Linked DNA regions of Rhinolophus ferrumequinum. The protein of the gene in region 4 interacts with the protein of the main gene of each other region in a biochemical or structural test. Links are inferred from orthologs where the notes say so. Each region holds a gene or a part of one and is shown on either strand. Other genes may lie near its edges. The genes, in order: NEK9, SEC62, RETREG1 and GABARAP.

What was found.
Region 1: the proteins of GABARAP (region 4) and NEK9 form a complex in vitro, tested with the Homo sapiens proteins (2 studies listed by BioGRID and IntAct, with this or other methods). The link is inferred for Rhinolophus ferrumequinum from reciprocal best matches to the Homo sapiens genes GABARAP and NEK9.
Region 2: the proteins of GABARAP (region 4) and SEC62 interact in a test that uses a peptide from one of them, tested with the Homo sapiens proteins (2 studies listed by BioGRID and IntAct, with this or other methods). The link is inferred for Rhinolophus ferrumequinum from reciprocal best matches to the Homo sapiens genes GABARAP and SEC62.
Region 3: the proteins of GABARAP (region 4) and RETREG1 are reported together in a solved structure, tested with the Homo sapiens proteins (2 studies listed by BioGRID, with this or other methods). The link is inferred for Rhinolophus ferrumequinum from reciprocal best matches to the Homo sapiens genes GABARAP and RETREG1.

What each region holds. Positions count from the first base shown.
Region 1 is NC_046289.1:23,493,124-23,501,227, reverse strand, and holds the start of NEK9 (serine/threonine-protein kinase Nek9), read right to left. Parts: upstream 3,525-8,104; 5' UTR 3,332-3,524; coding exon 2,708-3,331; intron 1-2,707.
Region 2 is NC_046285.1:72,242,340-72,250,147, forward strand, and holds the start of SEC62 (translocation protein SEC62), read right to left. Parts: upstream 3,152-7,808; 5' UTR 2,861-3,151; coding exon 2,825-2,860; intron 1-2,824. UniProt on the Homo sapiens protein: Mediates post-translational transport of precursor polypeptides across endoplasmic reticulum (ER). Proposed to act as a targeting receptor for small presecretory proteins containing short and apolar signal peptides.
Region 3 is NC_046290.1:11,173,496-11,182,230, reverse strand, and holds the start of RETREG1 (reticulophagy regulator 1), read left to right. Parts: upstream 1-5,523; 5' UTR 5,524-5,558; coding exon 5,559-5,863; intron 5,864-8,735. UniProt on the Homo sapiens protein: Endoplasmic reticulum (ER)-anchored autophagy regulator which mediates ER delivery into lysosomes through sequestration into autophagosomes.
Region 4 is NC_046304.1:11,590,496-11,597,947, reverse strand, and holds GABARAP (gamma-aminobutyric acid receptor-associated protein), read right to left. Parts: upstream 2,957-7,452; 5' UTR 2,820-2,956; coding exon 2,730-2,819; intron 2,173-2,729; coding exon 2,094-2,172; intron 1,954-2,093; coding exon 1,835-1,953; intron 1,371-1,834; coding exon 1,305-1,370; 3' UTR 1,294-1,304; exon of another isoform or gene 1,250-1,293; 3' UTR 879-1,249; downstream 1-878. Other genes in the region: CTDNEP1 (CTD nuclear envelope phosphatase 1), read right to left, coding at 4,652-4,712, 5,011-5,095, 5,508-5,619, 5,857-5,973, 6,390-6,461, 6,666-6,784, 6,882-6,948. UniProt on the Homo sapiens protein: Ubiquitin-like modifier that plays a role in intracellular transport of GABA(A) receptors and its interaction with the cytoskeleton.

The DNA.
Region 1 (8,104 bases), on a different chromosome or scaffold from region 4:
CTTTTCTCCTGCCTGGCAGCAAGTGAATCCACACATGATCTGTAAACCTAGAAAGAAAACTTCCTAGATGGGCAGAGACTGACTGCTTTTATTTTTTTTTTTAAACAAAACATGAACAGACTTTAAAGGTTCTGTATACAATGGAGCATCGTTATTTACTGCAGGATATTAAGATGCTATTACATTGTTGCTACATTTAATTTGCATGATGTCAATTCCAGGTAAAAATGTGGGATGGAAGTAGATCTCAAAGAATATGTTGAGGGACATTAAGACAGACTGTTAGTCATGATGAGAATTGTAACAGGGCTAGAATGTTGGAGAAATAGAGAACTGGCGAGTGTCACCTACAGCTGACCACAGATGCTTGTAAAATAGAAATACTAAATTTGCCTCTAATTTTATAAAATTAGATTTCTCAAGTGATTTTCATTTACCCTTCCTGGATAAAAGTAAGTCATGCCTAACAGCTCTGGGTTCACTTAACTCATGCTGCCCCATTTTGTAACTCTATCTCCTGTCACTTTTATGCATCATATGTTTTTCTCTATTCATGAAAACTCAACCTGCAGCTCCCAAGATCCATTCACTTTTATATCTCTAATTCTTTACTGACACTGCTCCCCAGACCAGGAGCACCCCCACCTAAATTACTCTCCCCATCCTCTAAAATGGCTCTGCTAGGACTTTAGAATTTTTTTGGGAAGGTCCTGATGAGCTTTCTGCTGTACATCTATTCAATGTAACTATTCCCTTAATTTTCAGAGTGCATACACTGAAACGACACTTGTGCATTCATTTATATACACATACAACTTAAATGCTATTTGTTTACTAATGGAGCCAACTTGTCTTCCCACTGAAATATAAGCTTGAGGGAAAGGTTTGCTTCTAATTAAACCTTCGTAAATTCATAGATCTAATAAATATTTGGTGGATAATGTTACGCAGTTTGGGAAAGTGTAATCAAATTTCACTTAAAAATTTTCTGTAATCAAGTTCAACATAAAAATGAAAAGGATGGGGGCCGGCTGGGCTGTTAGAGCTCCATGCTCCTAACTCCGAAGGCTGCTGGTTCGATTCCCACATGGGCTAGTGCTCAACCACAAGGTTGCCGGTTCAATTCCCGCAAGGGATGGTGGGCAGCGCCCCCTGCAACTAAGATTGAACACGGCACCTTGAGCTGAGCTGCTGCTGAGCTCCCAGATGGCTCAGTTTGTTGAAACGCAGGCTCTCAACCACAAGGTTGCCAGTTGGATTTCTTGAGTTCTGCAAGGGATGGTGGGCTGCGCCCCCTGCAACTAGCAACGGCAACTGGACCTGAAGCTGAGCTGCGCCCTCCACAACTAAGACTCAAAGGACAACTTGAAGCTAAACGGCACCTTCCACAACTAAGACTGAAAGGACAACTACTTGACTTGGAAAAAAGTCCTGGAAGTACACACTGTTCCCCAATAAAAGTCCTATTCCCCTTCCCCAATAAAATCTTTAAAAAAAAAAAAGTCAAATTATAAAACAAAACAAAAAAACAACAAAAGGATGGGCAAGGAGATGTAAAACTCCATTCTAGTCCAAGACTTACTTCTAATTTAAGTGAGCAAGTCACTTAAATATACTGTCTCAGTTTTTTAACTATAAAACAGGAATACTAATGCTTATCTCCTCTTTCTCATATTGAGTACAAATAAGAAAACAGAATACTAACACTAATATCATACATTAATGTGGCATTATGACAAAAAAGAACACTTAAAGATATTCTCTTGCAACCACCTCTCTCCATCTTTTAGCCTTAAAACTACGCTAGTTTGGAACACACACCAGAACTCCAGATGGCTCATTGATGGATGAATCACTTTCAATAACCCCACCATAGTCTCACATTAAATGCTTAACTATTTATTCTAAAGCTAAAATTTTAAGACGTGAATGATCAAAATCAGTTTATGGTTAGTTTTTGTAAGTAGAGTCACCACTGCAGAGTTTTAGATCAGTCTTCATTCTGAACTTGGGGGTCAGCGATCCATGAATCTCTTCAAAGGATATGTATATGTGCAAATGTGGACGGGGTGATTATATTTACATTAGGTTCCCAAAGGGGTCCTTGTGCCCTCTAAAGTTAAAAATCAACGGCATAGAACATACCGAAGAAGTATTTCCCAGGCACAAACGCTGCTGGGTAAACGATCTCCCTACTCTTCAAGAAAAATTTCCAATTGAGTGTTCACATCTGAGCTTAAAGAATGGCAAAGATGGCAGAATTGCCATTGATGTGGGAATTTTGAAGCTATGCCCGTCTTCTCCACCATGACCTTGGAGAGCTGAGAGGGAATAACTTTGGCAACACTTTAACGTGGACCACTTTATAACTTACAGTTTGCAAAGCACCTTTGTTTGAGTCTCAAAATAACCTTTAAGAATAAAGATTATTTTAAGGTAGTTATAACTAACCCATTTTATAGATGGGGAAACTAAGGCTAAGAGCAGTTTCAATGACTTGCTCAGTTCCCCGGGTTAAACAAAAACGACCAGTAAGTAAAACCAGTGATGTAACGAATCCCTAGTGCCGGGGACTTGGAAGAGTGGTGGAGCGGACCCTGAGACATATACCCTGCGGGCACCCAAGCACTACGAGAGGACCAGTCGCAAGACACGGGGAAAGCGGGGCTGCGGAGGGGCTGGGGCGGCCGGAACTGGGGGCCGCTACCTCCGTGCGGCGGTACAGCGTGGCCTCCCCGAAGGCGCCGCGGCCCAGGACGCGGATGGGGATGTAGTGCAGCTCCTCCTGCTCCGGCGCGCCGCCGCCGGCTCGCGGCCCCGGACTGGCGCTGGGCCCCGCGCCCGAGTCCCCGCCACTCCCGGACTCGCTCCCGAAGTCCGAGATGATGGAATCGCAGTGTCGTTCGTACTCGCCCAGCACCGACATGGCGGCGGCCGCAGGACCGGCCTGCGTGTCCCTGGTGGCTCTTGCAGTGCTGTGCTTCTCTTGCTTCAGACGCCTTGCTTCTCCGTCAGCCCTGCACCCCGGCGAGGTTCCATGGTGGCTCCTTCCCCCTGACCCGGAAGCGGTTCTGGGTACTTCCGGCCCAGCAGGGTTTTCTCCGCCTCCACTGGCCCACTTGCTTAGTCTCGGCGCCACGGCTTTCTTCGCTTTCCACCCGCGTGGAAAGTGAGGCCTTCGCGAGGGTTGGCGGGTGCGTGGTAGCGAGCACGTGGAACCGAAGGGCTCTGGCAGGAGCAAGGAGGTCACCGATGAGTCTGTAAGACCACTTCCCTGATCCCTGGCCTGGTCCCCAGACAGCTTCCAGGTCCAGATTTCCTCCTGTCTCATCTTGGCGACAGGTCTATCTGAAGGGCAGTGACTGGGCAAGCAGGCCCTTCCAGTGTTGCACAGCGCGCTTTGTTTAGAGAGTTATTACAGTAAGCCGAAATACTTGCCTCCTGTCGTCTCAGTCAGTGCCGTTATTTCTCCCAGAACTACTCTAGGTCCCTTCCTCTTACACACAACTCCAAAAATATTTTGTCAACTCTCCTGAAACTCTCTCTTCTCTTTTTCCAGACTTAACGTTATTCTTCAGCGCGTCTTTCCAAATCTGTAACCATTTAATCTCATGGAACATTCTCTGAGCGCTAGGTACCACTGTATTTGCTGGGTGGGGAATCCACAATAAGATAGATGCTCCTTTCCCTCAAGTAACTAGAAGTATTGCAATACAGTCGAAAAACGTGTTCCATTAGTTGTGACTAGGCAACTTCACATCTCCAAGTTTGTTTTTTAATCTGTAAAATTGTGGGAATCTGATCAGAGATAACAGCACACATTTATAGTGTGTGTTCCTAGCATAACGCTAATGTTTTCTTTCCATGTATCATCCCACTTAATCCTATTGTTCCCATTCTATAGAAGGAACTGAAATACGAGAGGTTAAGTAACCTGCTCAGTGTTACACAGCTTGTAAGGGGAGCTGGGAGTCAAACCCAGCAATCTGGTTCCACATCTCTTTCCTAGAGCAGGATATGTTGGAGCGAAGAGAAGATCATGTAGCCTGAGGCTAAGATACATGCTGGGTAGAAGGAAGAGAAGACAGGTCCTCAAATACAGTTTCATAGTCTGGCTTTTCCTGTGGGCAATGGAAAATTACGGGAGATTTTTAAGCAGGGGAGTATATGATTAGTGTGACTGTCCCGATTTGCTGGGGAAGTCCCAGTTTACCCCTTTTTCCTCCCCAGCATAATTAATAGAGCCTTCTTGCTCAAGTGCCCAGCTCAGACAATAAACAATATGATCACCTTACATTGAACAAAATTATATTTTACAAAGAACTCTGAGGACAATGTGGAGAACAAAGAGGCAGGGAGACCAGTTAAGAGGCAATTTATATGCGAAAAAAAGAACAGGCACTGAGGTACTATCAGTGTTAGTGGAGAGAAGATCCAGACTTAAGAAATCTAAGGAACATTTAGACTTTATGATCAGTTGGGATATGGTTGGTGTAGTACATGTATAAGAGTCTAGGAGACCCTTGCAGGGTTTTAACTAGGTGGCTAGTTATAGCACATACTGAGTACCAACTTGTGCTGGTGCTGGGTTACAAGGGAGAACAAAGTAAACATGGTTCCTACTCTCATGGAGCTTACAGTCCATATAACAGACAGATGAGGCAATTATATGAATAATTGTGCATAAGTTACAGGGTTATTATAAAGAAAGTACAAGTATTATTAGGACGGGCATCTTTCCCAGCCAAACTTGCTGGGTTAGTAAAGGCTTCCTGGAGGAATATCTAAAATATTGTCAGTAATGGCTAAAGCAGGGAGATCATTCCAGATAGAGGCGATTCCATCTACCTCCTCCTATTGATTAGATGGCATTTTGAGGATAAGTATTGCTTATTTATTCAGGTCTACTCCAGAGTTTAGCTCAGCATATTAAACAGGATATTCCATAAATGCTTTCTTGAGTTAAAAAGAATGGAAAAAGCTGTTACTTAAAATCAGAAACGCTGACTTTCAGAGAAACTGAATAATCGGCCAAAGCTTAAAAATTCATTTTCTGGCATCTTTGCAATGAGGAACTAGATAGTTTTCTGTAACAGCCTGGTATTGCCAATTGTTCTAGTAGTATAGTATGCATAGATAGAAGCTCAATAGCCCTTTCCATCTTAGAGAAGACAGAACAGAAATACTCATGCTCAGTTCTTTATACTGGATGAAATGAAACTACGTATCTGACCTTTGAATAGTCTTAGTAAGTCCAGAAATACTACAGGTATAACTGATTTTTTAAACAGCCTCTCATCAAAAAAGTTATTTCCATGTTATATTTTAACAAGTGAATAGTTAAGATGCTACATAACCAAAGTTCCCACTTGTGAAGGCAGATCCCCAGGGGCCATAAAGTTACTATAAAGACAAAAGAATCTACCCAAGTCTATACCCTTCACTGTCCAATGTGGCATCTGCCACTAGCTACATGCAGCTCTTGAACACCTGAATTAAGCCTCGTCAATGCAGATGTGCTGTAGCTATAAAATGCTTTTCAAAGACTTTCTATGAAAAAATAGAATAAAACATCTCATTTTTATATTGACTACGTGGTGAAATGCTATTTTGGATATATTAGACAAAATATATTATTAAAATTAGTTTTACTTTAATGTGGTACTACAAATGTAAAATTATACAGAGTGGTTCATGTTATGTGGGTGGGACACCATTGCTGCAGACTGAACAAATAATAATTGGCAAAACATGTACTACCATTTAACAAATATATGATACTGTTGAGATTATTAAATTTAAAGTTCATTTGTCAAGTTGCTGAATTTATTCATGTTCTCTAAAAGTAAAATATCAGTGAGAAATAAGACATTTTTGATGTTAAAATATTTATACTCAAATGTTGGGAACCACTACTTTGCATAGATTCACTGACAAATTACCTGTTTTTTTGGGAAATGCAGGTGGAGGGTGAATAAGAGGCCAGCCAATGAATGTGCAAAGCACTTCAGGTCGACTCTTGGAAAGAAGCTTTATGAAAAATGTCCAACTGCAAGTAAAAGGAAAGGAGAAAATGGCCTTTACTTGCTGGAGTAGGGTTTTGCATAAATGTGAGGGGTCAATAAAGCAAGTTGTGAGGGGTTCTAAACTGGGAGGGGTATTTTAAGAATGGAGGGCAAAGGAGAAGACTTTCTGTAGGAATAATTCCAATACCAGTTTCCAAGAGAGAAGCTACAGAATAATGCCTGGCTTACAGAGCCCTGTTTGGTCTTTATGAAGATGTATAATTATTATTTTCATATACATATATACATTTATAACATATATAAAATATAAACTATTACTAACTCACAAAACTTTATCCATCTGGAGTAAATTATGGACAATATTTTTTCTCTACTTAATCACGTATAATTTGCCATACTTGAAAACTGAGGAATATGGAGGAATCACTGCCAATCCAGACAAACAGTAACAGAAAAATACACCTAAAAATGGTTTCTGCTAGCCTTTATTTGAGAAAATTTACACAAAAGTCCCCATCCAACTCTTACAAGTGAATCTGTATAAATGCCACATGCCTCTTTCCATTAAACAAACAGAAAAATTGCTTATGACAGCGTTTATGACAATGGTATAACAAATATTACTTAAACTGCTTCATTCTCACCTGTATTACACAGACCATGTTGAATAATAGGCTCAAAAACAGAGGAAACGAGGTAACATCCTCATTTTTAAAACTGATTTGCCCTTGCACTAGCCTTTTATCGAAGGCAAGTAATTTTACTTTTAGATAAAATCAAGGTGTAATACTAATGAACTTTAAACCAAAAGCACAGAAGTCCAAGTTGGTAGTTTTGGCATGAGTAAAAGGAAAGGACATGAAAGAATTTCACTTTCACTGTCACATTTGGGAACAAAAATATCAGCAAAATAAAATATTCCCCTCTTTTATCTTCTTTGACATTTTGTCAGAACAGAGTACTATAATCTACTGAATAGCTTTCATTGCTTCTAAAAAGGGGAAAGGCACCAGTCAGAATTATGAAACAGTATCTTCTTAGGCTAATAATACAGAATTTCACCTTTAAACGTCTAAGGTTGGATCTTAATCCACAAATTTGGTCATTTTCTTCCCTACTTGGAGGCATCCTTTGTTGTTGAGTATTTGTAATACCACAGAGAGACTTTCACAACATCTGCTGCTCTTTTGCAAGGTTTCAGCTGTCAGGTTCTCAGAAGCAGTACCAATCAATTCTTACCAGCAGATGGCAATGTTGCCCAAATTAATGAAAGAACCACTTTCAATGCCACACCAGAAATTCATACAGGGAGTCAAAGGGAGAAGAAAGAAAAAGGGCTTTTGGGTTCACAGTAGCTGGAACATTAACAGAACAGCCTGAGATTCTAACAACATAACTCACTTCCTCCTCCACCTTTGTACTTCTATCCAGGTCACCACAGCAGTGTGCTCTGTTAGTTCCAGGATGCTGCTTCTTAACCACAAGCTGCATGGCCCTAAGTCCTGTAATTGCCACTGCGATTGGACAAACCCTGTAACAGTCAGCAGGGCTAAAAAAGAGATTACAGAAAGGACAAACTCCCACCTCCTTTCCTGAGAGAAGTGGGGAAATATTCATAATATTTTTCATAATTGTTTACAAACATGGTCATTTGTATCCACGTTCTTATTTACATTAGTATTGGCCTTTAGGCACCTCATATTCTCACAGTGATTCTTGGCTTTGCTTTCACAACATGTATTCTCAAGTATTTATTCATGATCCCAGATGCGTTATTTTTTTTATACCTCATATGTCTTAGGGGGACACATAAGAATAGGAATTAAGTCAGTGACTGGCCATGTAAGAAGACTTGGTAAATTTTACTACTTTTTTCCTTGGTAGAAGTTATGTTAAAAATTCAAGCAAGCACATATCTGACAAAGGACTTAGATATATCTAAGATAAATAAGGAACTCTCAAAAGTCATTAGTAAAAAGAATCATCTAATTAGAAAATGGGCAAAGGACACGAACAGATATTTCACTGAGGAAGATACAAAGATGGCAAATAAGCCCATGAAAAGATGTTCAACATTA
Region 2 (7,808 bases), on a different chromosome or scaffold from region 4:
TCTGTTTATATAAGAACTGCATTTGTGCTAAAGGATTCCAAACAAACCCTACTATTTGAAAATCCTTTTCAACTCTAAAATTTCATGATACTAGGATTCTAAATCAACCTTTCTAGTAAGCAGCATTTTGTTAACCTATAAGCACTTACTTTAAGTTCTTAAAAACTTACCTAATTGCATTTCTTAAATAACTTAAAATTATTTGTTTTCAAATGTTTCATTAGATTGAGATCACTCTCATTTCAGAATCTCAATCATTAAAAGTTCCCAACATAATGTCAATGCTCACTAGCTCACTTCTGGTTTTTAGTGACCAGTAAAGTGAGTCCAAGAAGGAAATGTGACAAAACAGTCCTCTTGCTTCCAACTTTGATGGGATATCACAATCCCTGAAAGTATGCTACCCTAGAAAAAGCAAATGAATTAGCCACCTTCTAAAAATGCTGAACGTGTCTGTATCAATCATTTCCCCCAATGTACAAATTACAATTCAAGGTCACCAAATCTACTAAACATAAAAGTCTTTTCTGAACAGGAAACATCAAATAACAAACAACAGGAAACTCAGTTGATATTACAGAACTTTTGCCCCAAAGTCTTACAATAGAATCTTTTTTGTAACTTAAACTGGACTTTGTCACTATATTTGATCTTTTTGTCTAAAGTGATGCCAATATTATAGAGTGTCTGAGTCTCTGGTGGGGAGTAGAGGGAACCAAGAAAATATATAAGATATTGTATATTTTTAATAATTGGTTAAAGACTGCATAGTAGTACTCCAAGTAGCACTCCCAAGATCTTTACAATATTTTAGCACAGCTATGTAGAAAACTTCGAGGATGGGAAAATAAATGTCAGTTCGATTTAGCAGTATGCAAGCTGATTTATAACAATCAGGTCCTCAAATACTTATCTGATCTTTAAATAAACATTAGTAAGTAAATAGCTATACTTTATGGAACTCACAATCTCATGGTTTATTTAGTGAATGGATAGGTGTTAATCTTTCTTTGGCATATCAGATTGCTTAACAAAAACCAAAACAAACCATCTTAAATCCTTCATCCTTGGGGAAGGGGGAAAAGGAAGGAGTTACATTCTTTTGATGTATTTTTCACAACAACCCTACAACCCTATGAGGTTCCCCCTTTTTTTTTTTTAAGGTAAATATTCCTTTTTACAGATTTGGAAATTGAGGTAAAAAGTTAAGTAACTTGCCCAAAGTTACACAGCTAACAATCAGTGACACTAGGGTACAAACAGGTACAGTCTGGCTCAAGCTTTAGCTCCCAACCACGATTATAAAGCTTCCTAGTCTACTTTCCTATTTAACACAAAATCACAGTTGAAATAAAATAGCTATTTAAAAAGTGAATTAGGATCACCTTCACAACAATATTAAACAACTGCTGAAATTGTAAAAACAGGGTTTGTTAAATAGCATAAAATGTAATGTGTAAATATAAGGAATCTAGTAAGTACAAATTTGACAAATTCAACACAAATTCTAATAAAAGTCTTATATATTCATACTTAAACAATAACACTAAATTTTGAAAGGCTAGGAATAGTATAATTAGAAATTTCTTCCATAATACCCTTAAGCCTTGGTTTTATGACCTGTCTGAATTCAGGGGAATTTGTCTCTTTATGATCCCCTTTCTACCCTCTTTGAAACTACTTTTTTATTTCTGCCCAATTCCAAAATTCCAAATTTACTGATCACTAGCATCTTTTTTTCTAGCACTCCAAAGTTTTCAGAATTTTAACTCCAGTCACCTGTGGTGCAAGCCCATTAAGTAACAGTTTTGTTTTTGTTTTAAATGGAGGAATAAAACATTCGACAGAAAAAGTCATTCTGAACAAAGAAATAGTAAGGAACAGAGATACAATAATGAGTGTAACAATTTGTGATTAGTATATTAACAATTTACAACATGCTATCAATTTATGATGACATATCAAGGTTTCTAGGCCCATGAGCTGATGAGGCAACGGACATCCTGACTCTACGATGTGCCACATATGTAATCCTCTTGGTAAAGAGCAAGAACAACAGGGGAGGAATCGCTGGGATGAAATGCACAGATGACATGCATGTGGAATGAACGAGGGATGTTATGTAGGTTATGAGGATGACACACTGTGCAAGGTTTCTGGGCGCGACCAGCTCGTTACAGTATCAGCGCGGATGTGTTTGTTTATACTGTGTCTCCCAAAAGAAAGCTGGAGAGCTTCAATTGGACCATTAACCTAACAGCATTGAGGAGAAATGATGGTAAACGCAAGTGAACATCTGGCCAGGCAGGCAGCTCGCCGCCCAGGCCCCGGGGACAGCTGACCAAACACAGAGCACTCCCCCTTCCACCGTCCTTCTGTTTGCGCACAAAGAACTGGCTGCTTTAGGTCAGCCTCCTCCTTCTACCCTAATTACCGTGGCCTTAATTTCGAGAGCGTTACGGCGAGCGGACGGGGTCGGGAAGGGAGGCGAGGAGGCCGGGGAGGGTCGCCGGCAGAGCCGGGAGGAGGCTGACCACCCAGCGCAGGCCGGGGCGGGCGCGGCCTCGGGAACCCCGGGCCGCCGACGCCAGCGCGGCGCCTCCTGCTTTCTGCCGCTGTCCCAGCGCCTCGGCCACAGGCTCCGCCGCCGCCACCACCACCCTCCCTCGGGCCCCTCACGACGACGCAGCCGGCGGCCGGCGGCCTCGCGGCGGAAGCCCACCCCACCCCGCCGTCGGTTTCGCTCGCCTTTTCAGGGGGCTTTCCCCGCTCCCTCCACTTCCGAGCGCCCCGAAGCCCCTACCCCCGGACTCGACTTGGCTACCTGAATCCGCTTCTTGTGTCGCCTGCGTTCCGCCATGTTGGCCGCTCCGCCCGGTTCCCTCTGACGTGGAGCGAGGAGAGGGCGGTGGAAACCTCGCGAGAGCGTCCCGCAGGTCCCGTTATGTAACCCGCCGGCTGGGGCCCTGCGAGGGTGGGGAGGCGGGCGCGAGGCCGGACCCCGGGCAGGCCCGGCGGGACTCGGCGGCGCCCTCTCTCCCCTCCCCTCCGCTCCCTTTGTTGCGGGAACGGGAAGTCGCTGGGAGCAGCAGGAAGTTGAGAGGTGAACCAGGGAACAGGAGGGTTGGAAAGAGTCTTGGCTGTCAAACGTGACTGAGCATCTGCATCACCTGGGAAGCTACTCAAATACAGATTCCCGGGCCCCACCCCCTCAGAGTCACTACGTTGGGAGTGGAGCCTTTCACAGAGCGATTCGCTGAGAGCTCCGGGAGGCTAGACGTCTCTGACTGTGGCACTTCCTATCTGGAGTGGAGCCCTGCCCCACGCATGACCCACGTGCAAATTCTATAAACCCCATTTTAAAGATGGGAAAACCCAGGGAACTGCGGCGATGGGAACTGATTTATCCAATGCTCCACAGCTGGTAGATGGCCGAGCCCAGATTTAAGTCAATTATCTTTTCCCACACAATATACAGGGTGGTAGGGCTCATCGAAGACAAGCTTTGGATTCTCTATTCCGTGCTCCAAGTTACTTCTTAAAACTCACCTTTCGAAGCCAGGAGTCATAACTCGAGGGAAGTACAACCAACTAGTGAGACAAATAGGAGAGAGTCTAAGAAATTGGGAATGAAGAAGACTGCAGCGTACTTCGCGGATGGTGAATTACTGTTAAAACTATTGTTATTTTAGAGCCACCTAGACCAAAGAGAATGGGCTTACATTGCTAGTAAGTGTTTAGATAGAAATTCCATGGCGATTTTAAAGCATTTTCAATTGTAGAAATCTGGGGAAATACAGAAAAGTAAGATGAAGAAAGTAAAACTCCTAATTCTACTGCCCAGACCTGTTATTATTTTAGTTTATTTTCCTCTAGTATTTATTCCTACTTTGTGTGTGTATTTGTATTTATATATTTTCCCTTTTCCCCCAGTTTGAGATCATACTGGATGTGTAATTGGTAACCTTTTTTTCACTTAATGTTATGTTACAAGCGTTTATTATATTATTAAAAAATTCTTCAAGTTTCCCATATTATATATGAACCTAATAAAAATTGAATGTGTAATTAAGGCAAATCATGGTATCTTGATGCCTAATCTTTTATAAAGTAAGATAGCTAAAGTTCTTGTTTGGACTATGCAATTCTGTACTCAGGGAACAGGATTAGCAAACTGTTTAGCTCCTTTCCCCTCTATAACCTACAATTAGAGTGTGTGGGGTCAAGGAGGGGGTAAGACAAAAGTTATGATTCTTACCAATTAAGTCAAAATATAACATAGGATATGAAATGTCTATTTCCCTCAGTCCCTCTCCCCCTCCAAAATGATGGATCTGTTTTGTACTGTTCCATTTGGAGAACACTGGATTCTTTTCATAGGAGAGCTGCTCTATAAATGAAAATATTGCATTCAAATAGATACTGAGTGCCTACTAGATGCAAAATGCTAGGTGAGGACGAGGATGGGGATCAAAAATCCTTTGTCGACACCGACTCCCTCTGAAACTACTGGCTTACCACCTTTGTCTTCAGAAGAGCCTTAATTTTCTATCCCCATGTCTTCACTGACATTCACTTCTTAGATTACAACAATTTGGTTTCTACCTCCACCATCTATTAATAATTTATGTTAAATCCAGTGACTCCTTTTTGGCTAGCATCTTATTAAGCATTTGACAATACTGGCAACTCACTTCTTGACTTATTCTTTTTCCTTGGTATTTATGATATTAGGTTCTTCCATCTAATTTCTCTTTGGCTCCTCTCTCTTTGCCCAGCTCTTAAATGTTCCTGGCTACCATACATCCATGCTTACTTCTTCCTTCTCTTTATACATTCTGGGGATTCTCATTGATGCTAACAGCTTAATTCCAAAATACTGAGTAAATGTTTACTTCCAGCCGTCTTCTGGATATCTCCCGAATTTCCAACTAGGAATCACCACTTCCCCCACAAAACCTGCCCCATTTACTGCATTTTAAAACTCTGATAGTCGCATCATTGTTCCCTCAGTTACTCATGATTAGAAACCTTAGAGGTATTGCAACCATGCCTCTCTGCCAATCAGTCACCAATCCTATTGATTCTACACTGAGATGTTTGGAATTCTTTCCTTCCTCATCATTCCTACTGATGTTGTTTTCATCAGCTCTTTATCATTACCTACCTGAACTATTGTTGCAAAAGCCTCCTATCATTCTTCACAACTCTACCCACTCTACCCTCAAGACCACCTTTCATTCTCTTATTTTACTAACCACTGCCCTCACCTACCAATACTCCCCAACTGTGTACAGCAGCAGTAAGGATGGCTAATGTTCTCATCCAAGTGTAAAATTTCTGGATCCTCCTTCCATTTAATATTTATATAAAAATAGCTCAAACACTCTACCCAGGACCTCATTTATATCTTTGATGGAGGTAGTGGGGAGTTTCGCCTAGCCATTTCTTGCTCTGATTTCTCTTTGAATTTGCCATCTCACTCCTAACATTTGACTTTTATTTCTTTCCCAAATGAGGAGCATTGCCCCTCTTCCTTTCTTTTGCCAAAGCAAAAGTTCTCTTTACCTCTGGGCTGTTTCACTTCTCTCTAGCGCTGCCTCTGAAACTCAGAATTGCTGCATAGAGTAGAGAAATTGAAGTCTTCGCTCTTTACTAGATTCCTTTGGGCACATAAATTTAAAAACTCTTTACCATGCTCTGCTAAACAAAGGATCCTCTGTCTGGAGGACTGATGAATAGATGAGGACTTTAAAAAATTCAGTTTCCTGGGGCCTACCATCCCAGTAAGTGGAAGAGAATGGTATGTAGAAATGTATTTCCATTGATCAGACTTATGTAAAATGGAAACTGATATATTCAGTGTTTTTTTTTTGTTTTAAATAAAACTTTCTCTGGGTCCTTTATGTGTTAAACATACATATGTTACTAAATTGGAAAGAAAAAAGTTATAGGGAAGTATAACAAATAATGACCAAGCTTTTTCTGGGCATGGTTTTTATAAAAGCATTTTAAAATATGTGAGTTAATAAAGTCAGTGACTTAATACTATTATCACAAGGAAAAATTAATTTGATATAAATATAATTAATATAAAATAAAATACAGTAAGCCTAATTTTATTTGAAAATTGATTTAATATTTGTGAGTTGATTCTTTAGACTTCCATTCAAGAAATAGCATAAAGAAGACAGTGAGTATGTATTATTGAAAAACAAGCATAGATATTTTGTTTTGAAAAAATATAATACATAAATTTTAGACTAAGAACATTTAAAAAGTCACTGTCTTTTTAACTGAAATGGTAATTGTTTTGTCATTTCAAACAGACATACATGTTCATCGTGTCATTCTCATTCACATACAGGATAGTCATGATTTCCTTATCTTTGATTTATTAGTTAGGATTCAGTGCAAAAAGAAAAAGGAACTAATCTAAGTATTTTAATAAGAAGGGGACCTAATGAGGAGAATTACATGTTTCCAATATTGTTGAAAGGTTGGAGGAGCAGGCTTAAGTCTGGACCTGTCTGAATGACTGCCAGAACCCTGCAAAACCTATCAGTCAGGGAGATTGCTACGTTTTGGGAGTCACGAGTCCACAATAGCAACACTAAGTTCAATAAACTACTAGGATGGCTGTAATCCAGCTGTCAGGAAGCCAGGATCGTAAGTGGTTGCCAGCACTGTCATAATACAACTACCTCTTAACTCCCATGATCAAGAGTGGATACAGTGAGGCTTTAGAAAACCCCTGTGTCTCCATGACTTTGCTTGCCTGCAGACTGACAGCCAGTAGCAACAGGAAGAAGGCCTCATCATCACTTTTGTCTTCGTGATGTCCTCTCAGTGCATTGAATTAAAACCACAACTCTAGTTGCAAGGGAGTCTGAGAAATGAAGACTTGAGCTTTCCATTCCCTGCTGTGTGCCAGTTGACCATATACAACCACTATCTTTTTCCTGGGAATCAGCCGGTTCAGGCCCACCTCTCCTGCTTCATCTTGAGCACTGTGAGACCACACTTCTCCCCCTCATCCCCATCCCTCCATATGCACGTTCAGACCCACATATTTCCTGTTTTTTTCCTTCCCCTTCCCACTCGGTATACCCTTCAAGGGTCAGGTAACATGTCACCTCCATGGTGAAACCTTCCCTAAATTCTTTCTTCAGCAGACTCATCTGTTCCTTTTCCTGGGCTCCACCAACATTTTGTACAATCCTTGCTATAGTATATATAATTTATGTTGTAATTCACTGTTTTTATTTCTAGCAGACTGTGAACCCTTCAAGGGCAGGTATAGGTCTCATTCTACTGTTCTCAGTGTCTCAGTGCCTGGGTCAGAGTGCGTGGGTGTCGATGGAGTGAAGAATGAATGATGACAATGACATCGTCCTTATCCTCTGGAGTCTTAGTAACTGAGAGAAATATACTTCTAGGCAGACAAGATAATTAGGAAGTCTTCACTAGATCCCAAGGCCTCTATTATCTAGAGAGTCCTCTGTGGAATTTACAGGAAACCAATTTAATAAAAGGCTTCCCTAATTTTGGGTGAGGAAGCACTTCCTTGTTGTCTTACCTGAGAGCGGAGACATGAGGACCCACCTTCTAAACCTACCTCTAACCCAGCAATTTGAGAGGAAATGCAGGGTTTGGCAAATTCTAAATCCCCCACATTAAAACCTTTTGGACTAAGAAAGGCAGCTAAACCTCATAGGTGTATTAATATACCTAGAACTTGTTTTCTGTGTGAACCCAACATCTCTGAAAATGAGAAGAGAGGAGAGGGATGGCAAGGGTAAGGAACA
Region 3 (8,735 bases), on a different chromosome or scaffold from region 4:
TGTTTATATCAACTAACCTATGGGAAAACTGGTGTTGTTCTACGTCATTTCACTTAAAGTTGCAGTTACAAAAACCTAGTGACGATGTTAAGTGAGGACTTAGCTGTATACTAAACTTCAAACTATATCAAATATGACCTTAATATTGCTTTGAAGGTTCAGAAGGCTCTTGAGTCTTACAAAGCTTCAGGGTCCCCATGGTTACCACTAGCTGCCCAGTAAACACCTGGCTGTGCCCATCTGTGCATGGTCTAAGAGGACACCTGTGCCACAGCCTGACTGCGTGTTCTCAGCAGGGCTTGCGGCCACCAGCCCAGCCTAAAGGGTCACCGGGTTTTGTGCCTAATTTCTAATGAACTAAAATTAGTAAGAGGTGACAAGCCAAATACACCCTTTGGCTGTCTGTGGGATGTAATTCTCATAGCTATTTCATTATATTCCACGAATCTAATTTTAGTTTACAAAATACTCTTGAGACTGGAGGCCTGATTTGGAGACCTTTATTTAGAAACCATCACACCACAATTTCACTTTGATGATGGAAGTTAAGCTGGAGTTCCTGGGACCTCAGGAAAAGGTGTTTTGGGTCTATCGCTTCCTTGGTAAAAACAAACCAACAACGACAAAGAAACCCACAAACTTCAGGAACTCTCAACAGCTCAAAGGATTGTGTCTAACTTGGGGAATGATGTGCAAAACCCTCCTCTATCTGCTGTGTTTATCCAGAAGTCTCGTCACCTTCTCTGCCCCATGCAGTCAACCTGGTCTGGCTAGCGCCTTGGAACTCACCTCGGCCTTACCCTTTGCCAGGTTCTCGTACAGGCCATTTCCTCTGCCTGGATCACAGCTTCCGCTGGTTTCTGAGCCGCAGACCCCGGGCCCAACTGCCTAACTGACATTTCCAAAGATGTCCCGAAGGACACTTGACAGTGTCCCTCCCAAGTCTGCTCCTCCTCTTTACGGTCCTAGCGAATGATAAGGAAAAAGCTCCTCTGGTGTCTCTGCCAGGCTCTACTTAACCCACTGTGCAGGGAAGGCTTTCTATTATAAACAGGCCCCTTCACTCTCCTGCTGAGAGCCCACCAATGGCCCCAAAGCAGCACGTGGAAGGAGCCCTTTCCAGGGCTCACCTGCTCATTCGCCCTGTCCTGTAGCTCAGAAGTGCTTCCTTTCTTTGAGGGCTGGGCTGGCTTCCCTCCACCCCAGCCATGCACGTCACGTGTACCCTCTCCCGTCACCTGGCCACCGTCAGGTCCTGTTCCCTTGCCCATGACCGAAGCACCATGAGGACATAAGCAGTCTTGCTTTTCTTACTCCAAACCAACCTTTAATAAAGGTTTAATGATCAATGAATGAAGAAATGACGAATGAATGATACCAAAGTGCAGTGAGGCAGAACCAGGACCATAAAGGAAAAAAAAAAAAGAGGCTGCAGATGATGACGTTGGTTTGCAACCTCAGGAAGCCCCTGGGTGAAATTTGACATTAGCCTCTACATAGAGGGCACGGAGAGACCAAAGAAAGTGGCTGGCGGACCCTCAGACTGATAGGTGGCAGGTTTAATGAGTAATGAATTTACTTAGTAGGCTTGTCTTGGGCAGCTGCAAGGTCTCTGCACCTGCCTGCCAGCCTCTTAAGGTTTTATAGAGAGGCCTTCACAGGTTCATTTCAGTCCAGATGGTCTCCACAACACCTTACTCTCAACCTGTGTCCCAGAAATGGCTCCCACTGTCACAGCAGCAGGCAGACGTACGTTCCAAGGCCAGGGACTGAGGAGCCTCTGATTGCCTGGGTAGCAGGTGAACCAGCGGTCACATCCTCTGTATGAACTGCTCCAACACAGGACCAGCAAAGCGGCTAGTCGGCTGATTGGAGTGTAACTTGTAGCACGGTGGGAAGGGGCTGGACGTTCATGTCTGCAGTCACCCTGGCTGAGTGTGTGTGTTGTGTGTGTGCGTGCGCCTGTGGCTAGACAGTACATTTTCTTAGGCTATATTCTTATTGTGGTGGGACCTAAGTTCTCTTTCATGAACCATTCCGAAGCCTTTAAAGCTCTTTTGTGTATTATCAGGGAGTGATACCTAAACTGGGAACCCAACTGGTGTGTGGATGGCTTCACCTTGGTGTGAGACTGTTCATGTCTGGAGAGCGCCTCCCTTACAGAAAACTTGTCAAATGTAGACTATTCTAGTTTGCAAGTTCCAATCCTCATGAGCACAACAGACAGCGGGCCCCCCAAGCAGAAATCGCCAATGCCTTCTGCGAGCCAGGAGTTAAAAACCAGGAGCAATTTTCCTTTCCTTTTCTGCCCGCTGGCTGCTGTTGGGTGATGTTGCTATTTATCTGTATACTTAAAGTGAATTCTCTAGGTTCTCTTGGCTCAGTGACATGAAAATTAGGGGAAGTCAGGAATAAGGAGGAGAGTCTATGGTAAGAATAGGAGGGTAGAATTGCTTTAATAAAATTATCAGCACAAAATAATCTACCTGTATTACTAATAAACACGTATGCACAGCTCCTTCAGTGAAGGAGTCATGGACCTACTGAAGGAGGATTCCAACATAAAACATTTTAGGGAAAAAAAATACTAGGGCATTGCCTGTGAGGCCTCCTGGAGAGGGAATTAATTATTCATTATTTTTCTCTCCTATTACAAGCTTTCTAGCTACTTTTGGAAGAGAAAGGTGAGTGGCCTCTTTTAAGAGTTCCTATGTGTATTTTGACTTTCTTTGCTGGAGCTGTGTTATTTTCTAAACTGTCTCCCAGCTTCAGTGGCTACAACTGTTTTTTCTCTCTCTCTCTTTTTTTTCCCCTCTGACACATTCCCAGTTTTCTAGTTTTCCTTGGATATATAATCAAATCATCTAGCTCATTAGTGTTAATCACTCTGTTCCCAATATACAGAGATGCAAAATTCAGAAGAGAATCTTAAACACTAAGGTTACCCACCGGAGTTTTAAACATGACATGTTCTAAAAACTAGGAGACAAGGTTTATTTTAACCATCATTAGCATTATTTTTATGTAGTCTTCACACTGAATAAATTACTCAAGCATCACAAAGATAATTAGACAAAGAGAAAACACCCAGTAGCACCTATTTACATGTCTATGCCAATGTCAATTCCTGTGACATTATTCCTTTGTCAGTAATTGTTAGAGGTCAGAGGTGAAAAAGACAGATTAGAGCAATTAGTCCAGCTTTTTATGCAAACCAGTTTTGTGTAGCACTTTCTCCGCAGTCATTTTGAGAGAAAAAGATCTCACATAGCGGTGGGTACGGGATTTATCATTAAACAGAGATAATAAGGATTGCAAACTACATATAGCAAATGGAGTTTAGTTTTTGTGTCTTGGTTGTCAACAGCTTTTGCTACTTCAAACAGATCCTGACAATAATTAGAATGGGGGCGGGGAGAGGAGAAGCAACGGGAAGAATGTTGCCAACCCTTCTGGAAGCACAGCCACACTGGTTTGGACAATAGGGTTCCTCATTACCTCTGCATGCCCCCTCCAGCTGCAGAGTCCAGTAACAAATCTTAGAATGTTGCAACCTCTGTGCTGTACTCCTGCTAAACAAAGACCAGATGACATAATAAAGCATCATTTATCTTTTCAAAAGCAAGAGGGGGATCAACACCTGGGAACAGATAGTCTTTCGAGTTGTTTCCACATTGTTTTTTCATTGCCTCCCTGACCACTTTCTTTCTGTTGTCAGAGGTGTTGTACTCAAAGGGAAGTCAGAAACGCCAGAGACCCTGCCTTGCCATCTCGGTACAACCCAAACTTCCTGCCACTAGTGGCTCATTCAGGGCCTTGGGGATCTGCTGCAAATAGAAGGAACTCTGGGCCTCCACACCTGCACCTCATGTTGATCTCCCAACAGAGATTACTGCCCCCTCCCCCGAGCCCCCACTTTACTTCCCTCCTCCTTACAACTCAGGGCAGCTGCCATCTGCTCCAAACAGCTTCCTGAAACCTGAGTCCTCCACTCCTTCTCTAATTTTGGGTGCATGATTTAAGTAAGGACTCTTCGCACAGAGCGATTATTTCCATCACAGCAGTTCTCACAATTGTAACTGGCCCCTCCTTGGACTGGGAGCTTCCTGGAGGAAGAAAAGGAGGGTAGAATTGCTTTAATAAAATTATCAGCACAAACATATCCACAGAGCTTAGCAATGCATTGGGCACACAGTAGGTGCTCAATAAACCTTAGAATTTACATATACCCTTCCTAAAGTATTACACACATACGTAAAGTGCACACATCTGCACTGTACAGATCAATGCATTTTTTTTACATATGTATACCCAGAGGGATAAACGTATATAATGACCACTCAGACGAGCATTACAGAACTTTCCCCAGAAGCTCCCTTAAAACAACAGGCTTTAATTGCTCTGGGAGTGAGCCCCACCCATCCTGTAAAAGAAGGCTGGGTGCTGGTGGTGGATACAAGATGCCCTGAGTCATGCCAGGTTGGATGCTCAGGTGGGGGGAAGGGGCATTTTATTCTAGAGGAAAGCAAGAACAGAAGGATTAAAGAATACGTTTTAGAAATGCAAATAGTGAAGAGTATAAGCAATTACCCTTCTTTCCTCTCCCCACACTCATCCAGAAGCACCAGAGCCAGTGAGGCCCGGTATGGGAGGTTTCGGGATTCTCTGTCACCTCTCCTCTACCTCACCCCTGTCCTGATGTCTGCTGGGACAGAGACCAGAGTGACTCTGGAGTAAGGCTTGCCAAACTGCCTTCGACACATGCAAAGCATCCACTCTCCTCAGGGGTTCTTCCTTCTGAGCTCCTGGTTCATCTGTGCCTCCCACAAACCAACGTGCCTTCTGGAGCCAGGTGCCTTTGCCCACAGTGAGAGAGGAAGCGCCTTCCCCCTTCGCTGAGGCCTGGCGTTTCCTCGCTTGTAAAAACCGGCCAGAAGCTTAGTAATTGACCCAAATGTTTTTTTTTTTTTCCTTCTCAATCCGTGATGACATTTATATCATCATGTTATTCCCAGAGTATTACAGACCTCTGCTATGGTTGGGTGGGTTGTCTCTGCGAGGGCACTGGGCCGGGGGATCGCTGGTGGCTGGCATCCGCTCCCAGGGGAAGGGACACCCCATAAAGCCCTGCAAGGCTGCGGATGGGCGAGTGGTGGCCCTGGCTCTGAGAAAGTGAAGATGTCCAATGGATTCTGCCGGTAGTCCCGACTCCCTTTTAGACAAGTCACCCGGCGGCGGTCCTCTGCTTCGCCCCGCTCCGAGAGCGGCAGGGGACGGGGGCTCGCGTTCTCTCGGCCGCCGGGACCCCGCCCAGCTCGCACCCACCGCGCGGCGGAGGCCGCCCCGCCCCCCGGCGCCCGCCGGCCCGCCCCTGCGCCAGCTGGGCCGCACCCACTTCCCCCGGGAGGCGCCCCCGCCGCGGCCAGGCTGACGTCACAAGGCACCCAGGGCCGGCGCCCCGCGGTGCGCGCCCCGCGCGGGGACCCGCCGCCCTTTCGGCGCCGACCGCCGGGCGCGCCCGCGCGCGTGCCCGTCCCGGCCTGGCAGCGCCGCTGAAGATGGCGAGCGCGGCGCCTCCGGAGCTCGCCGAGGAAGGATGCCCGGCGGCGGCTGCGGGCGAGCGGGCGCCGCGGCCCCGGCTTCCCCCCGAGGAGCAGGCGGAGGAAGCGCTGGAGGAAGGGGCGACGGCGGCTGTGGCCGCGGGGCGGCAGGTGGAGGAGGCGGCCGGCGGGGTGGCCGCCGCGGTGACCTGGCTGCTGGGGGAGCCCGTGCTGTGGCTGGGCTGCCGCGCCGACGAGCTCCTGAGCTGGAAGAGGCCGCTGCGCAGCCTGCTGGGCTTCGTCGGGGCCAACCTGCTGTTCTGGTGAGAGCTCGGGGCCGGGGTGGGGGTGGGGGGACGCCTGGGAGGGCAGGTGACCTTGGGGCGCCCGGGGCCTTGGGTGGGTAGTGCGCGCTGGACGCTGCGGAGGAGCAAGTGTGAGCCCTACCCTACTTTCTCGGCCACCTTTCTCGAACAGGTAGACACTCACTTCAACTTTCCTCCAGACCACTCTTGCCTGTAAACAGTTGTCATCCTCCGTCTGTGTTTCCAGCCTCGCAGGCAAGGTGGTCGGCTGACCCGTCTGCACCTGTACCTACAGGTGTGCCCAGCGTGCTCAGAAACTTCGGCTTTTTGCTTTCTAAAACTCGCAGGTCTTGACCTGCTCCCCCAAAGCATGCCTGAGCAATCGTGCTTGAACTTGTATTCGTTCTTGCACCCCCAGCAGGCCTATCTGGACCAGCTTAGGTACACGCTCAAGACTGCACCGCCTTCGTCAGCCACCTGAGATGGCACTGAATGACTTGTTTTTCTGTTCTCTGGAGGATTGGGTTTACTGTCTTTACTGCACGATGGGACAACAGGCAAACGGTGGATTACGTACATCACCCTGCCCCCTCCCCAGGTGTGCACAGGGTGGAAAACAGTCATATTTTTAGGTAAAATACAGAGAGAATACATAGGAATGTTCTCTGACAAGCCCCTGATCAACAGGTTTGTCTCTCCAGAGAGAACTCTTTACCTGTAAGGACCGGGGAAGTGTCTGGCTCCTTCGTTGAAGGACATGCCCTGTCATCTGCTACCAGTCTGGTGGAGGGCAGAGAAAAGCTGTCTTTGTTTGCAACTGTGTCCTCATAACAAGCATGACCCACACGGTACACATTAAACAGCTTAGGCAGCAGATAGCCTGCTGTAGGACAGATTTCTTAACCTTGCAGTTAGGAAACAAATAAATGCACATGGTATAACACAGCCTACCGTTTTCTAGGTGAATCTAAGCAATTCAAGGATTTTTTGAAAAAGAACAGATCTGTGCTAGTCCTGGTTTTCTCTAAAAACTGGCTGTGTCTTATCAGGGCCCCTAAATGTGAATTTACTTTGGGTCTCTTACTTCTGTGTTCCTAAAGATTATTCCAGATTTCTCTATCCTGTTATGAAGTTATGTGAGCATTCAAATAAGGAGGATATATTTATGGTATTATGCTAGATTGGGCAATAGTTCAATTGTCCTAGGGCTGTGTCTCACTCATTTCACCAATGAGGGACACATTTTTAAAATTCTCTTTCTTTAAGTTTAAATTTTCCTCATTAATGTTACCTGTTTCCTGTATCTTTCCAGGTAGTGCACATCACAATATTCTGTGCAAATTGTAAAATACTATCAGGGTCTTTACTCTTCTTAGTGTATCTTAGAAATCACGTCCATGCCCATTTTCAGCTGCATAGAATTCCCGTTGTAAGGTTGTCACAAATTATTTAACCTGTGTCCTAGTGATGGACTGTAAGGTTGTTTCCAAACGTTTGTTATTTCAGTGTTACTAATGGCTTCATACATGCATTATTTTACACACATGCTAGCATTTCTGTAGAATAAATTCCCAAGAAGTGGAATTTTTGGATCACAGGGGATGTGCACTTGTAATTTTGATGGATATCACTGAATTGTTGCACTTCCTTGGAGTTCTACCAATTTATACTCCAACCAGCAATGTGTGTGACTGTCTGTTTCTCTATACTCTTGCCACGAGCATTTTATCAAACTTTTTGATCTTGTAAATCTGATAGGTGAAAAAGGGTATCCCATTGGGGTTTTAATTTGTATTTCTCTGGGGTCAAGCATCTTTTCCTGTGTTCAAGAGCCATTATAATCATGTTTTCTTTGCATTATCTGTTTTTATATTTTATCCGTGTTTCTAGTTGAACTCTTGGGATTTTTCCTATTGATTTGTAGGAACTCTTTTTATATTAACCTCAGCCTAATTTCTATACTATGAGTTGCAAACATTTTTCTGTAATGTATTCTTTATAACCTCTATGGAAAAGAATGATTTTTGCATAAAATAATAGAAGGCAGATTTGGTAGTATTCAAGAGTGATGTCTCCTTTGTTTTTAATGAGTCTCATGAGAGGTACACAATATCAGGTCTTCAGTCCAGTTAGAGCTTTCTTCTTATCTGCTTTATATTTTCTCCCATTTGCAGTGTCTGCATTCCATGTATGTATTTTCTTTGACAGAAAGATAATAGTGTGGCTTTTTAAATTATGAAATATTTGTTAGCTGGAATTTATGACCCATTTATTAATTTCATTAAAAATTTGAACTCCTCCCACCCCTTTGTTGCTTCTGGGGTTAAAACACTTTTAGAAGACGTTGTTTTCCTTAAATAGTGTATTTCTTAGCAAGTAATCTTAAGTTATGTGATATTCTAACATTCTGTGTCCCAGGACTGCTAACACTCTGTATTTTTTATGAGAAAAACAAAAAGATTAATAATGTTAGCAATATGGGGAACCCAGAACTTAAGCAAGAGTGATAACGTGTTCACTTTAATTGATGTTACTTCATGTTTTTTGGAAATTAACTTTTTAAACACATGTTTTCTGAATGACTTAGTATCAGTTACCAGCAGTAGCTTTCAGGATTTTGAGTTTGAGTTCATAAAGCCTCTGACATTTCTTACCCACCGTTATGTGTAAGATTTTAGTCCTGTGTAATATAAGGACCAACACTGACACGTGGCCATGACAAATGGGTGTTAATCAAGGCTGCATGAAGTTAGCGTATCTTGGAAATCACGTCAGAAGAGTCAGAGAAAGGATAGTTTATTGTCATGCGATTTGCGGGGAGTGGTGCCATTGTGGAAGGAAGCGATTGTGCGGTCTTCATAAGGAGCTTCTGCTCGGACCAGACCTGGAT
Region 4 (7,452 bases):
CGGCCGCCTGCTCCCTCCTCCTCCTCTCTCCTCCCTCCCTCATCTCCTCCCCCCTCCCTACGCGGGCGCCGATGCGCAATGCATCAAGGGACTTGTAGTCCGTCAGGGGACAGCGGAAAGGGGACTGCATAAACCTTGGGAACTTCAGTCCCCATCAAGCCACGGACTGGCGCAGGCGCACTAAACCGCTCCCTTCCCCCGGGGAGTGGCGGGGAGATTGGGAGCAGAGGGTAGAACGGAAGAGCGCGCGCAGGCTCCTGGGAAATGTAGGCTGAGCGGGACTAAGAAAGAAGGGAAAGCCGGCATTAGAACTCTCGGCCACCATACTGCCTCATTCTGCAGCTTCTTTCTCCCCTCCGGGGGACCGCCCCACTTCCGGCCAAACGGAGAAGTGGTTGCTGGAAGATGAAGTTTTCCTGGTGATAATGGTTCCCTCGTCCCAGTCTTCTCCCTCCCTTGGATTCCCCTCCACTGGATCCCATATTCTGGCACAAAGTCTGGCCAGGTGACATACATCTGAAGACAGAGTCCTTTTAGCAGCCTCCACACGCGAAAACTTCCTTAATCCAAAAGGTTGTAATAAACTTGGATGTGTATATCTAAAGCAGGTACTATCAAACTTTCTCCACAGGAACCCACAATAAAAAAGTTATTCTTTCCATAAGGACCCAATACACATGTAGATAAAGCTAAAGTTTCAAGAAACAACTCAGAGTATCTCATCCATCACAATAAAAGCACCCTTTTTATGCACAAGGAAAAGCTACCCCAACATCAACAGAATAAACTGAAATATATGACCATCCCTCCAACCTCTTTCCCACCACCGATGACTAAAAAACAAAAGGGGGAGGGAAGGAATACAAAGCAAAATCCAGTTCAGCTTGGTTTCCTCTTTATTAATGTGCCTCCTACCTTCCCCCCACAATTTCAGTCCCTTCCATCTACCCCAAAAAAAGGTAGTGAAAGGAAAGGATTGTTGGGGTTCTGAGCCCCTTGAGCAGTTAGAAAGGGAACAGAAACCAAAACAATCACTGGATGTGACAGAGATTGACAATCAAGAAGTCTAAAGCAGAGTGGGAAAGTGGTATAGAAAGGGGAAGAAAGGAGGAAGGAGAGGTACTAGAGGCCATCTCCACCCATTAACCCTCCTGCTAAGAGGGTCTGGGAAAAGAGCCTCAAACATTAGGAAGTGCAGGTCCTGAAGGGAGGTGGTGTTTGAGCCTGAAGGAGGAGGTGGTCAAGGAAGGGGGGCCACCTCTCTCTTTGTAGAATGGGACCCCCCCACTGCAGGGGCAGCAGTTTCACAGACCATAGACACTTTCGTCACTGTACGCAATGTATAGAAAGAAGTCTTCTTCATGGTGTTCCTGGAGTGAAAACAGAAAATGATGCTGCTCAGACATCTGAGCTTTAGTTACCTAAACCACCTGCCACCCAAACACATGCTTTAAAAACCATTCTTTTTGAAAACTCCCAAAACCAGTGCCTTGATTCTCTTCATCACTTGCTCCAAGCCCTAGTAGTCTAGTCGGATTATCCCTAGAAGCAGCCCTGGGCAAAAAAGATCTTCAACTGTTCTCTGCTGCTGTGGGGAGGGACTAGGGAGAGTCAGAATTAGAATACTTGCTCCAGCTCACTGTTCTCTCCCTTCTCTCTACTCCCACTGCCTGCCCAAACCCCCAACTCAGGACTATCCACAAAGTTTCAGGCCAAAGATAAAATTGAGAGCTCAGCAAGCCAGCTAGTCCAAGAACTACCGACGTAAAACTTGCTTCCTCTCACGCTCTTCCACCTCCTCTCCAAAGCCTCCATTACGTCCCAGTCCCCGTACCTGGTATAGCTGACCCATCGTGGCACTGGTGGGTGGAATGACATTGTTGACAAAGAAAAACAAGGCATCCTCAGCTCGGAGATGAATTCGCTTCCGGATCAAGAAGTAGAACTGACCAACTGCCAAAGATACAAGGTGTGATAAAGTCACAGATAGCACAAAAGCCCTCAAAAGAACAGCTGCTATGTGGAGCCTCCTCCCACAGAGATTGCACTCACACCCACAGGAAGCAAACTTGAGTATTGGGTCAGGTTCCCACCTGTGAGATCAGAAGGCACCAGGTATTTCTTTTTGTCAAGGTCTCCTATCCGAGCTTTGGGAGCCTTTTCTACTATCACCTGATAAAGGGAAGATGAAAATTAGGAGACAGTAGGTATAGCGTCCCACAGCTCCACCTGTCAGGAACTCAAGCAACAGTATTTCTAGCACGCAGACCTACCCCAGACTCAATTCTTTGTCTATGAACACGCGGTGCAGACCTGAGTAGAGATTCTAACCCCACTGACTCAACTCACCTAATCATCCAGGTCCCTGTCATAATAAATAATTACCTTCATTAGACGGGAATGACTTGTCTGGGGCGACTACAGCTTCAATCTCAAGAACTCGGGGGAATGACCATGTGACATTCAGACTGTCAAACTCCCTACAGCCTCCCACACGAATCTCAAGGTCTATCTCTCCCATCTACACCCCCTCACCCCCAGCTACCACCGCTACCCCACTCCTTTCACCTCCGGTCCCAGAGACAGCAGTTTCAGGTTCGTTCCCAACCCTGCCACAGCAGGAAGCTTGATACCCAAACTGCCCGTCCCCGACCCAAGCCCAGGCTGTGGCGTCAGCGCCAGCACCAGCGCCAGCGCCCCGCGCCCTCGGCCCTGGCTACGGTCCTCACCGGGACCCGGTCCGGGTATTTCTTTCGGATCTTCTCGCCCTCAGAGCGGCGCTTCTCGAACGGATGCTCCTCTTTATACACGAACTTCATCCTCCCGGGAACCGGGCTGGACAAGGCTGGGCTGAGGGAACCCGGGGGGGCCGGGACTGGGGGAGGCGGCGACGGCGGCGACGCGCGGGCGGATTCAGCGGAGCGATCCCAGGACTTGCGCCACTTCCCTATTCACCAACCCCGCCCCCGCCCATCAGGGGCCGCCCTGCCTGCTACATTACGCCACTAGCGCAGCAGCCCTGACGCCGCTAACTTAGCACCACCTACTGACCACCCCCCTGCCCCCGCCACGCCGTCAGCGTAATAGCTTCGGAATCAACTTGTGGGTTACGCAGGCGACGTAGCAAAGGTGGTTGGCTTTTGCTACCGTCAAAAATAACTGAAAACCCGTTTCCCGACCTTCCCCCACGAAGCTAGGGGTGAAAAGAAGCTAGGAGATAGTAATCATAACTTGAGACTTATTCATCAAAAATTCTTTTCGGACATAACGTAAAGGAAAAAGCAGAGAATTACAAGGATAGCTATTCAAGAAATGTGCTGGTACGCTAAAGACGGCCGTTGACACCAAAACAAAATAGTACCCAAATGGAGGAGGTGGCCTTCGGAAATACAGGAGCGCAGAAACGAAATATATGTTTAGAGAGATGCACAGAAAGCATAAGTACCAGGAATGAGTGGACCAAGAGGGAATGTAAAGGTCCGAAACGTTTGGGACTACGTCAGCGCGGAAGAACACCACTAGTATTTGTATCAACGAAATCATGTGATCTCAGAGAAGGGCGGAGCATCACGTGGCAGCTACAAGGAAGTAGAGCCGGCTTCGGGGAGGAGGGCGCGGGGAGCCGGAGGCGGGAGGGAGGTTAACCTGACCGGGGAGTGGACGGCCTGTGGCACAAGCTACCTGCGGGCGGCGCCCACTTAGCTTGTCTACGTCAGTCCCCCCAGCCCAGCCTCTCTCCAGCTATATGCCTTTTCTGGCATTCAGGCTTCTCCTTTCATATTTCTGTGTCTTGCTCTGGAGCTCGAGTCTTCTCCAGACATATAGCTGTACTTTTCGCTCCCAGCCAGGGCGCTGACCCTTCACTTCCCGCCAAATCATCTGATGTCAATGTTCACTACTTCATCAGACAACCCAACACCACATTTTCCCCTTACCCCTTGGGCCCAACAGCAGTCTCTCCCCTCTGCCTAGAGGGCAGGATGGATGTGAACAAAGACCCCTCCCCTTCATTTACCCAAACCCCAGAGAAGGACCTAGGGCAGCTTTGGTTTCCAAGTTATAATGCATGGTTTAAAAGAGAGGAAAGAAAAAAAGAGAAAAAAAAAAAAAAAAAAAAACTGGTTACAGGTCTGAGGAAATCTAGGAAAAAGGGAAAACAGAGGGAAAAGTAAAGGGAGGACAAGTTTGGGGAAAATCCAGTGGCCCAAATCCCAGTTTCCCACCCACAGCCCAGCCCTTGGAGTAAAGAATTAGATCAGTTTTATACAAGAGTTTTAAAAAAATCAAATCACAACAAAGCTGGCTTGGCTTCTCTCTGAGCCTCCTGGATTACCGAATGTCTGTCTCTCACTCTGGCCAGTCCTGTCTCTCCACCACAGACACAGTTTCGGCTCTCCTAGGCCTCTGCTTATGTCCCAGTCTGGGGTTTCCAAGGAGTTTGAACACGAAGTTAGAGTGAGGCTGCTTCAGAATCTAGCCCATGTGTCCATCCAGACTCCATACAGAGTGCAGGGCTCCCAGGGCAGAGAGGGGAGGGAGGGGCAGACCCTGCCCAGGCAGTCCTCACCATTGGACAGGGCATCAGACGGCATCCTGAGGGCTCACCCTCCCTTTCCCCCCCACCCCAACTCAGGTGGAGGGGGAGCAGCTGTCACCAGAGCCTATGTTGGTGAAGGTTTCGGCTCAGCACAGAACGAACATCAGCGGTGAACCTGGGATGACAATAACTTGCATTGGTAGAGTCCTTATAGTTAATATCCCCACAACACTAGTGTGAGGCAGCCTCACTGGAGATGTGGGGCAGAAATGATCACCATTTTCAGATGATGTTCAGTTTGCCCAAAACCCAACGGCTAAAAGTGATGAGCTTTAGTCTAAGACCTGGGCTCAAATGCTAAATTCTTAGGGAAGAGAGATAAGTAAGTAAAACAGGTCAAACTTTTTTTTTTCCTCTTGGGATTCCCCCACCTCCTCCTTTCCTCAGAAATCTAAGTGTCTAGCTTCCCTTACCTGAGGGCATCCAGCATTGGAAGCAGGTTGAGAAGGGCGGTGTCGCTGGGGTCACTGAACCAGGATTTGATGGGGATGGCATTGTCTAAGTTGAGTGAAAAATGCACATGAGAACAAAGGATTCAAAAGAGACAGGGTGTTTTTTTCTTTTATTTGGGAGTAAGGATCATTACTTTCAAATATATACCTTCCACCCAAACTCAATAATCTAAGTAAAAACCTTCTTGATTTATCCTCCAAAATAAAATTAAATTTCGATCACCACATATCATACTAGTGTGAGGCCTCTGGTCAAACTTATTGTCATTGTGTCTCACCTGCTTTTAAGAAATCTGATTTATGAAATGATCATGTGGGAGAGAGGGGAACGTCTCACTTAGAAGAGAAACAACTTGCATCCTGACCTACAGTAAACCAGGCATCACAACTCCACGTATTCAAAATACCTCCTCAGAACCACTTCCTGGTCCTGCCAGACTCACCACCTTCCCCCATACCTGGATGGCTCCTGTAAGCCCCCGGGGAGTTATCCAGGATCACAATGCTGGAGAGGTCACTGTGGACCACAGAGAGGTCCTTGATGTAGCTGCCCAATTCCAAAGTGCAGTGCTGGAAGGCAGGGTAAGCTGGGCATCAAAAGGAAACTCGCTCTCTGTGACTGTCCTCCCCCCCATCCCAACAACGCCTTGGGCAGCCAATTCCCACAAAGGGGATCATGCAGTATACCACCGCCCACACACATACGACTAGAAGGTCCCATTTCAGGGCAATTGCTTCCAACTCAAATCACTCCCTGGTGGTCTGCCTCTGGAGCTTCACTCTTAGACCTGGATTCTAGCCCCTTACCTGTCTGTAGTATCTCCTCTTGAGAATGCTTCTGCTATTGTCCAGTTTATCTGCCACAGCAGAGCCATAAATCTCCATGCTTGCTGTGAATACTACCAGCTCGTACCACTGGCTCACCTGAAATAGACAGGGGAAAGGGAGGTGTCAGAAGAGGTGATCATCCTTTAGATACACAGTTCCCATTCACCAGGACTGCAGCCTTGTCCTTCAGGACTTTCAGCAATATCAAATTATCTCTAAGGACACAAAATTGTGAACGCCCCCAAACTCAAGTCTTAGGCACCATACACCCTTAAGATTCAGAGATGCAAGAACAAAAGAACAGGAAGCCTGTGGAAGAAAAGAATTACATCAGCAAAACAAATGAACCCGAACTAGTGAAAGCCATTCTCCAACCATCCCACAGCCTCCCCTCTTCAAAATTGCCCTTATCCATTTCTCCTCACCCCTTACTTCCTCCAAATTCTCTAAATTCCCAGAACCCTAAAACCATTCCTTCATAACAGAGCTCCCTTTGGCTTTCGCAAACTCACCACTTCTAAGAAGAAATCCACATGGGGCCTCTTATGTACAAAAAACCGGACAGGATGTTTGTCTATTACCACCTGTAGAGGAATAGGGAAGGGCTAGGGGAAGTACTGAGCACCAGGACATGGCCTAAAGGACACCCTCCCATTGCCTGCTTCCCTCCTTCAGGCTGACACTGGTGCCAGAGGATGGGGATGGAGATGAGACATTCTGGGATTGGGAAAGGGAGTCCAGCCTAAGACGAATAACAGCCATAACCATTCCATTCCATCCCCACACACCTTAAGGATGAAATCAGGAGGTGTTCCAGGCCGGACTGTGGGCCTCAGGACCCCATCATGATGGGAGTGAATAAGTGTCTCATCCAGATCCAGCACCAGGATCTTCCTCTTCACCTGGCCTGAACCACAACAGGAAGGGAAAACATCAACCAACCTCCAGCCCAGACCTTGACTCCTACCTCACATTAGAGGAGTCTTCTCAGCCAGCACACATACCTAGCCGATTCCGGGACACAGGAGATAAGGGAAGGATATCATATCGAACAGTTTGGTACTGAATTACCTAAGAACAAGAGAGAGAATTAGAACCCTTGACAAGGAAATCTTCCCTAGTAACAATAGGTAGCACATGTTGAATATTTACTATATGTTGGGTACCGTGTACATGATTCAGGATTATTTCATTTATTTCTCAAAACAACAACAATAATATCATCTCTGTTTTAACGATAAACTGAGGCTTAGAGAGGTTAAATACCTTGCCTAAGGCCACACAGCTAGAAATTATCTTATTTAGTTGTCTGTCCCCACAGTTAGAATGCAAACTCCACGAGAGCATGGATTTTTGTCTCTATCATGGCTGAATTCCTAGAACACTGTAGCAGGGGTGGTCAGTTCATCTTAGAATCTATGAAGTGGTGCAGCCAGGATTGTATCCACGCAGTCTGACATAAGAGCTCGCCCTCTTAACCGTATTATCCTGCTATACTGAACAAAGAAATGCACAGCCCTCCCCACCTCCCCCCTAAGGATTCTTCATGACAACTCCCATCACCTCCCGCTAGAA